Kluyveromyces lactis: one gene and its partner. Each later gene encodes a partner of the first gene's protein in a complex. Links are inferred from orthologs where the notes say so. Each region holds a gene or a part of one and is shown in the gene's direction. Other genes may lie near its edges. The genes, in order: CFT2 and PFS2.

The links.
Region 2: the proteins of CFT2 (region 1) and PFS2 are in contact, whole or in part, in a cryo-EM structure (PDB 7ZGQ), measured with the Saccharomyces cerevisiae proteins. The link is inferred for Kluyveromyces lactis from reciprocal best matches to the Saccharomyces cerevisiae genes CFT2 and PFS2. Residues at the interface, in NP_013216.1 of Saccharomyces cerevisiae: Asp547, Asp548, Tyr549, Gly550, Thr551, Val552, Val553, Phe555, Met557, Phe558, Leu559, Pro560, Asp561; in NP_014082.1 of Saccharomyces cerevisiae: Ser186, Ser187, Asn188, Ser190, Lys191, Ile203, Glu212, Trp227, Glu230, Met231, Gly232, Leu233, Leu245, Asp247, Pro248, Arg249, Ile254, Ser255, Ser256, Ile291, Ser294, Met295.

The regions. Positions count from the first base shown.
Region 1 is NC_006041.1:1,063,175-1,067,109, reverse strand, and holds the start of CFT2 (cleavage polyadenylation factor subunit CFT2), read left to right. Parts: upstream 1-1,575; coding exon 1,576-3,935. Other genes in the region: KLLA0_E12035g (uncharacterized protein), read right to left, coding at 1-939. UniProt on the Saccharomyces cerevisiae protein: RNA-binding component of the cleavage and polyadenylation factor (CPF) complex, which plays a key role in polyadenylation-dependent pre-mRNA 3'-end formation and cooperates with cleavage factors including the CFIA complex and NAB4/CFIB.
Region 2 is NC_006041.1:644,012-647,638, forward strand, and holds PFS2 (cleavage polyadenylation factor subunit PFS2), read left to right. Parts: upstream 1-1,754; coding exon 1,755-3,113; downstream 3,114-3,627. Other genes in the region: BSC6 (Bsc6p), read left to right, coding at 1-1,358; PFK27 (6-phosphofructo-2-kinase), read right to left, coding at 3,506-3,627. UniProt on the Saccharomyces cerevisiae protein: Integral and essential component of the cleavage and polyadenylation factor (CPF) complex, which plays a key role in polyadenylation-dependent pre-mRNA 3'-end formation and cooperates with cleavage factors including the CFIA complex and NAB4/CFIB.

The DNA.
Region 1 (3,935 bases):
GACGTTACCCCAGACACTGTTACTAAATTCGACACATAGGGATCGAATGTTGCGGCATTTGATGTTCTTGAAATTGGCTTCTGAACACATTGGGGATGCCCTGATTGTCAAAGATTCTCTCACGAAGGATCCATCAACAAGATCCCTTTCAGTGTTACTATTGTAACTGACGAGAGTTAAATGGTCGCATGGTGGTAATACAACTCTCTTTCCTGGTGGCACTTGGAATTTTTCAATCGTTTTAAGCAGGGGACAGTATTGTAGATCATCGACTATTGTAGTGTTATCCTCACATTGCAATTGATTCACTGTCATAATCCTAGGTGCAATCACTTTCTTACCCCTTCTTATGTTCAAAGTGAACAGCGTTTCCACGTCATGTAAATAAGTAGTCTCAAATATCGTGTCGATATCAAACATGTCAACTTCCTGGTGATTAATATCTCGGTTGGCGAATATATGTAATTCACATAATCGTAGTTGGCTTTGACAATGGCTTAGCTCTCTGAAATAGAACTTGGAAAGGAAATTGGTAGTCGTCTTATACATGAAGCATAGATTCTTTAGAGTACCCATCCCACTTAGCCCTCTACTTAATTCACATAATGCCGTCGCCAATGGGTCACTGTAGCAGCGATCGGATACGATGACAATGAGAACGTTGTCAAACTTCCGTAGAAATTCGCTCAACACAGGAAACTTGAACGTATCTGTATTTACGCAAGCGGTGTTTCTCTCATCAGATAACAACTCATAATTGCAAGGATCTGCTAAGGTTTTTGATGATTCCCTATCCAAATCCCAAATCTTCAATACACCAAGCTTGCGCTTTATAATTGTTCTAAAATGTGAACCAACCTTACTCCATGCTAACAGACTCTCTAGACTGTCTAGTCCGCTAGTTACTACACGATCAATAATTTCGATCGGAAGACTCATTACTTTTGTACCCTTAAATCTTCTTCTCCTCCTTCTTATCATTAGCAAATCTGTCAAAAGTGTCAACTAATGCAGCTTATCTTGCACGTTGTAAACTAGGTCCTTATAATTCAACTGATTTCAAGTACGCTGGTATATCCAAGATGCCTTTAGACTTCTTCCAGTGTTTGGGTCAGTTGAGCAATCTGTTCCGTAATCTGTCGCTTTATTCTTTAATATGCTGACTCAACCTCAAAGAACGTTCGGAATACATTTTGACACTTAAAGTACCGATAAAATTGTGGATTTTGTTGCCTATAATTGTAAGCAATGAAATATGTTTGATATTCCACCTACTGGACCGTACCAACCTACAGATTGCAGCAGTATCTCGTCCAATAACAACTTCCCTGTCTCAGTTTGGCCTCTTAATCCTTCTTACTGACATTATATCTCATTACCCGGACATAACATGTCAAAATGATACTCAAGGCATCAACATTAAGTTCATTTAAACAGTACATGCAAATAATTGAAGAATGAAGGATAAAGGAAGAAGAAGAAGAGATTGCCGGCACTGAGGACACCTTTTCCTTTCCCATTCCAACCAGTGGATTCTCATTGTTTTTCAAATATAGAAGTAACTGTGCTCTCAAGATGACATACACCATCGAAACATGTAGGGATGAGAAGAAGCGGTTTGAGGGAACCATTGTACGATTCAACAATGTAATAGTATTATTGGACCCAGGATGGAACGGTGAAGGCAGTTATGAAGAATGTGAAGAGTTTTGGACGCAGTACATATCTGAAGTTGACATTGTTCTGATTTCCCAGCCCACAATTGAATGCCTTGGGTCCTATGCCATGATGTTTAAACAGTTTTTGCCTCATTTTAGGTCGAGAATTCAAGTTTATGGGACGTTACCTGTATCAAATCTAGGCAGAGTCAACAGTGTTGACCTTTTAACTTCAGTTGGGATATTAGGACCGTTTTCTAATGCCGTCATGGACCTAGAAGATATTGAAAGCTCCTTTGACTTGATTGAAACGGTGAAATACTCTCAAACGGTGGATTTAAAGAATAAATTCGATGGGCTCTCATTAGAAGCACATAACTCAGGGTATGCTCCCGGTGGTACCATTTGGACGATAATCACTTCATCAGAAAAAATATTGTATGCGCCTCGTTGGAACCATACAAGAGATACTATCTTGAATAGTGCGGACCTATTAGACAATACTGGAAATCCAACCAGTTCCATGATGCATCCGACTTCTGTAATAACCAACCTTTCTATTATAGGCTCAGCTGAACCTCAGAGGAAAAGAGTAGAACATTTCACTGATACCATGAAAAGAGCTATACAAATGAATAACTCTTTACTGGTACCAGTTGAAGTAGGAGGGAAACTATTGGAAGTACTAGTCCTAGTTAACAATTTCTTATATGAAAATATGAGGGGTGGATTGAAGTATGATATTCCGGTGTTTCTAATATCTTATTCAAGGGGCCGTTCTCTCACATATGCTAAATCTATGTTAGAATGGTTGTCCTCGCAAGTAATCAAGACCTGGGAATCTCGAGACAATCGGTCTCCATTCGATGTTGTATCTAGATTGAGGATTATTACTCCTGAGGAATTGGGAGGTTACACTGGGCAAAAGATCTGTCTTGTTTCCGAAGTTGATGATATTTTGTCACAAACGATAAACAAACTTTGCTCTAAAGATAAAGTAACGATCATATTGACAGAGAGACATCCAAATACCCCAGCACAACATCCCTTACGAAAACTTAATGATAAATGGCAACAAGCAATAAAGAATGGGAGTAGAAGTGCATTGGATGGCAACCCCATTAGCATATCTGATTCGATGTCACTTCGAATCATGAAGAGAACAATTTTAAACAAGAAGGATGCGGAGAAGGTGAGAGAAATGATTAAAACTAGAAATGAGGTAAGAGAGAAAATTATCGAAGAATATACGGCTAAGACCAATGACAAAGCTCAAACAAAAACAATACTTTTTGATGTTGATGATGAGAGTAGCGACGAAGAAGGTGTGGATTCAATGGATGCAAGAGGCAAGAATGGATCGGGAAACGTTAAAGTGGAGATTCCCGTAGATATTACTTCCAATGATAGTGTTTCCACAAATGAAAAGCACCTTATGTTCCCATTCCATCCAGCAAAGCTTAAATCTGACGATTACGGTGATGTGGTCAACTTAAAGAGATTCTTACCACAGGAAGAATCATATGACCAAGCACAATCTTTAAAGCAATCTTATAGTAATAACGATTATGATGAAGACGATGACGATGATACATATGAGGTACTTGATTCGCGGATTAATAAATCAAAGAAAAGAAAAACAGATCATAATCCTAGGAAACAAGAAAATAATGATGATATTTCTTACTTGGACCCATTGAAAAGTGACATTTATAAACGAGCAATTGTGGAAACAAAAGTTAACATTCGTTGTTCTTTGGTATATATCGACTTGACAAGCATAGTTAATGCGCGGTCGATAGCAATCATCTGGCCTGCAATCAAACCAAGAAAAGTCATTGTGCTGCCATCAGCTGCTCCTGTTGATAACCAAGTCGTGGTTAATCTAACAAAGAGAAATATTGACATATTGGTGACTGAGTTCAATAATTCGGTTGAGATGGATACATCTGTCAAGGCAATTGATATTTCTATCGATCCATCGCTCGACCAACTTCTAAACTGGCAAAGAATCAGTAAATCTTTCACTGTGGCACACGTTGTTGGTAAACTATTGACAGAAACTGACCCAAAAGCCCCACATCGGGAGAAGGTTATATTGAAACCGTTAAGCAACCCGTTAGCTTTACATTCTGGAAGTTCTCTAAGAATCGGAGATGTTAGACTACCGGAATTGAAAAGAAGACTAACTGCGGAAAATCATAAAGCTGAGTTCCAAGGTGAAGGTACACTAGTGATTGATGGCAAAGTTTTGGTTCGGAAGATTAATGATGCCGA
Region 2 (3,627 bases), about 420 kb from region 1:
GCGATGATATCCATACAGAGCAAGCTTTTGAAATTGATGAATCCGGTAGTGAGTTGCTGCGCAAGACATGGTACGAAGGCGAAGAAGTTGTGCTATATCCTGCCAATTATGAAAAGGTGTCAGTCGTCCGCCTACAAATCGCGACATGTTTGGTATTATTCGTGATGTTTGGTATGACGGATCAAGTGAATGGATCTTTGATGCCTGTTATTACTAAGTATTACAATGTCACCGAGCTTCAAATGTCGATAGTGTTTTTCCTTCAATTGATGGGCTATGTGTCGGCATCGGTCTTAAATGATATTTTGCATAAAAAATGGGGGTCTCGAGGCGTAATGACAGCATCATGTATACTTGCTGCATTTACCTACTTGGTTCTTGCCCTAAAACCATATTCGCTCTATCTTTATGCGATATGCTTCTTTCCGCTAGGTATGTGTGTTGGGTTTGTTGACTCTACAGGTAATTTCTACTTTGGTAATTTAGAGACTAGAAAGAATGAATGGATGGGTTTGCTTCATGGAATATACGGGTTGGCCGCTGGTGTAACCCCACCATTAGTTACAACCTTCGATCATTATTTGGATTGGTCTTATATCTTTTGGGTCCCTTTGGTGTTTGCTCTTGTGGGGTTGGCACTCTGCATGGGGGCCTTTAAATACGAAACTGCTACCAAATACAGATACATCTGTGTAGGAGTCCCCGATGAATCAGGTGGTATTGAAAATGAGGAAGAGATAAAATGGTACCAGTTATCGAAGTATCCTCCGATGATTTTCTTGTATGCATTTTTCTTATTCTTGTACTTAGGTACAGAAATTGGTGTTGGGACATGGCTATTCACATATTTGTTGAATTATAAGAAAGGTGAGAAGTTCCTTATGTCATTTGTTACTGCGTCATTCTGGTCTGGGATCACTATCGGTAGATTAGGTCTTGGTTTTGTTACAAAAAGGTTCAAAAATGAATACAGGTCAAGCGTTTGGTACGGTTTGACTTGTTCATTGTTTTTTTTCCTATTCGTTATCATCAATCTAATCAATTCCACATCGACATTCTATTTCTTTGTTTTATCGTTGATGATCTTTGGCGCTGGTATCTTCATAGGTCCCTTGTTCCCTAACGCAAGTGTTGTTGCAATCCAAATCCTACCGAAACATCAACAAGTTAGTGGTATTGGTACAGCAATCGCTTTCGGAGGGTGTGGTGGTGCATTAATAACATACTCTTTTGGGTTTGCAAACAAGATTTTTGGGTTCCAATACTATCCATTTCTATGCTTCCTTGGTTCTTTGGCATTCAACATAGTTTGGATGCTCTACCCGAAAATTATCAAAGGACATAGAGAGTACTTATAAATTACTCAAGCTCAACAGATATGAATATCGTGCCGCGCATGGAAATTATTTACTTATATATAATAGGGGAATCGCTCCTACTTCTTAACGGACATATGTATTTTAAATCCATACTACAGAAGTAATTGAATCAGCTTCATTCTTATGCTTAAGGTCTGCTGCACGTGATCTATTTTTTTTTCTTTACTTGAAGCAACTTCAACATCGAGCTGGCATCAAAAACTACCGAAATCAGAATATTACTTGCATTTAATGATATTGAGAGGTAGGAAATGCATAAAACATGTATCAAAAGACACGGCCAACGTTTCACATTACGAAACTTAGGTGAACTACTATTCATACTGTTCTCAGAAATTTCAACACAGCCTGGTCTCAGCTTGAAAAAGACATAGCATGGATCCTAATACCGAGGGCACCACAACTAAAAAGTATACATCGCAAAGACGAACAATTGACATTTCTGCATCTTATGATAGACTATATTTCTTGAAGAAGCATGGCCAGGAGAATTCGTCATATATAGAGGCAGAAACCTCATATAATGCTCATATACTACCGCCAGATGCCTATGGTTTTCATGGGCATGCCATCAATACAGCAACCAAATTTACGCATCTTTCATCAAATAAGGTAAAGCACGTTATTCCGGCTCTTACGTGGACGCCAGAAGGAAGAAGGTTAGTGGTAGCTACATACAATGGAGAGTTTTCATTATGGAGTGGATCCAGTTTCAATTTCGAAAGTATTATGCAGGCTCATGATAGTGCAGTAACCGTGATGACATACTCACATACAGGGGATTGGATGGTTAGTGGTAGCGCTGATGGGGAGCTTAAGATCTGGCAACCAAACTTTAATATGGTTAAAGTCATGGACCAAGCACATATGGAATGTGTAAGGGAAATATCGTTTAGTCCGACCGACCAGAAGTTTGTCAGTTGTTCTGATGATAATGTGTTGAAAATATGGAACTTTAGCAACGGACAACAAGAAAGGGTGCTATCAGGCCATCATTGGGACGTCAAATCATGCGACTGGCATCCGAAGATGGGTTTAATCGTATCAGGATCCAAAGACAATCTTATCAAATTCTGGGATCCGCGTAGTGGTAGCTGCGTATCCACCATGCTTGGTTTTAAACATACTATCATCTCGACGAAATTCCAACCCAAACAGGGAAACTTACTATCTGTAATTTCGAAGGATAAAACATGCAAGGTATATGATATACGACAACAGGCTAAAGAGCTTTTCAGTGTTCGTGATGATGTCGACTACATGACATTACAGTGGCATCCAATCGATGAAACAGTGTTTACCGTTGGATGCTATGATGGATCTATAAAACATTTCGATCTATCCCAGGAAAATCAGCCAAACAAACCTACACACAACATTCCATATGCACATGAAAAATGTGTTACATCATTAGCATATAGTCCAATTGGTCACATCATGGCTAGCGCCTCGAAAGATAGGACTATTCGATTCTGGACGAGATCGAGAGCAGTCGATCCAAACGCCTTTGATGATCCAACATATAACAATGAAAAAGTTAATGCTTGGTACTTCGGTATCAATAATAACATTAATGCTGTCAGAAACAAAACAGAACACGGTGTTGCTTTGCCACCAAGTGAAGACTCCAATAATAATGAAAATGGCGACGGTTCCAGATCAGTTGAACCTGAGCGACCATCTGTCAGTACTTTACCAGGTTTGGGATCAGGATTACCAGGCCTAAGTTTTTAAGACAATTGAAAGTCATGGAAATTATAGCATCAATATTATTTAAGCAGATTAAATGTAAATCTACCTTTTCTTCATCATTAATAAGTAGACTGTATCGATTGAATAAACTAAAATAGAGGTTAACGAGTAAAATACTATACTAAATAGGTAAAAAAAGAATCAGTAGTTGTTGAATATATAAAAGTGTTAAAAAGAACCGAGAAATAAAAACAAAAAAGTGTTAGGAGGTCGTTACAATTCCAGTCGCTTAATCAACTGGCGGTCAAAAGGTCATTAAATTTATAAGATATCATTTCGTCATTAATATTTTTTTTATAATTGGTGTATCAATTGGCAAGGAGCACTGGCATTCAAACTCTAATAAATATAGCCAAATCATATGGTATAAGAGATTACAACGTTTGTAGATAAGTATCATTGATACTTTCGTGCAACGTCATTATATTGGATTTTCGGACATTTTCATCTATGGCATCAGATCTATCACGGGAAGAGGATGGTTGAGGAGAAGTAG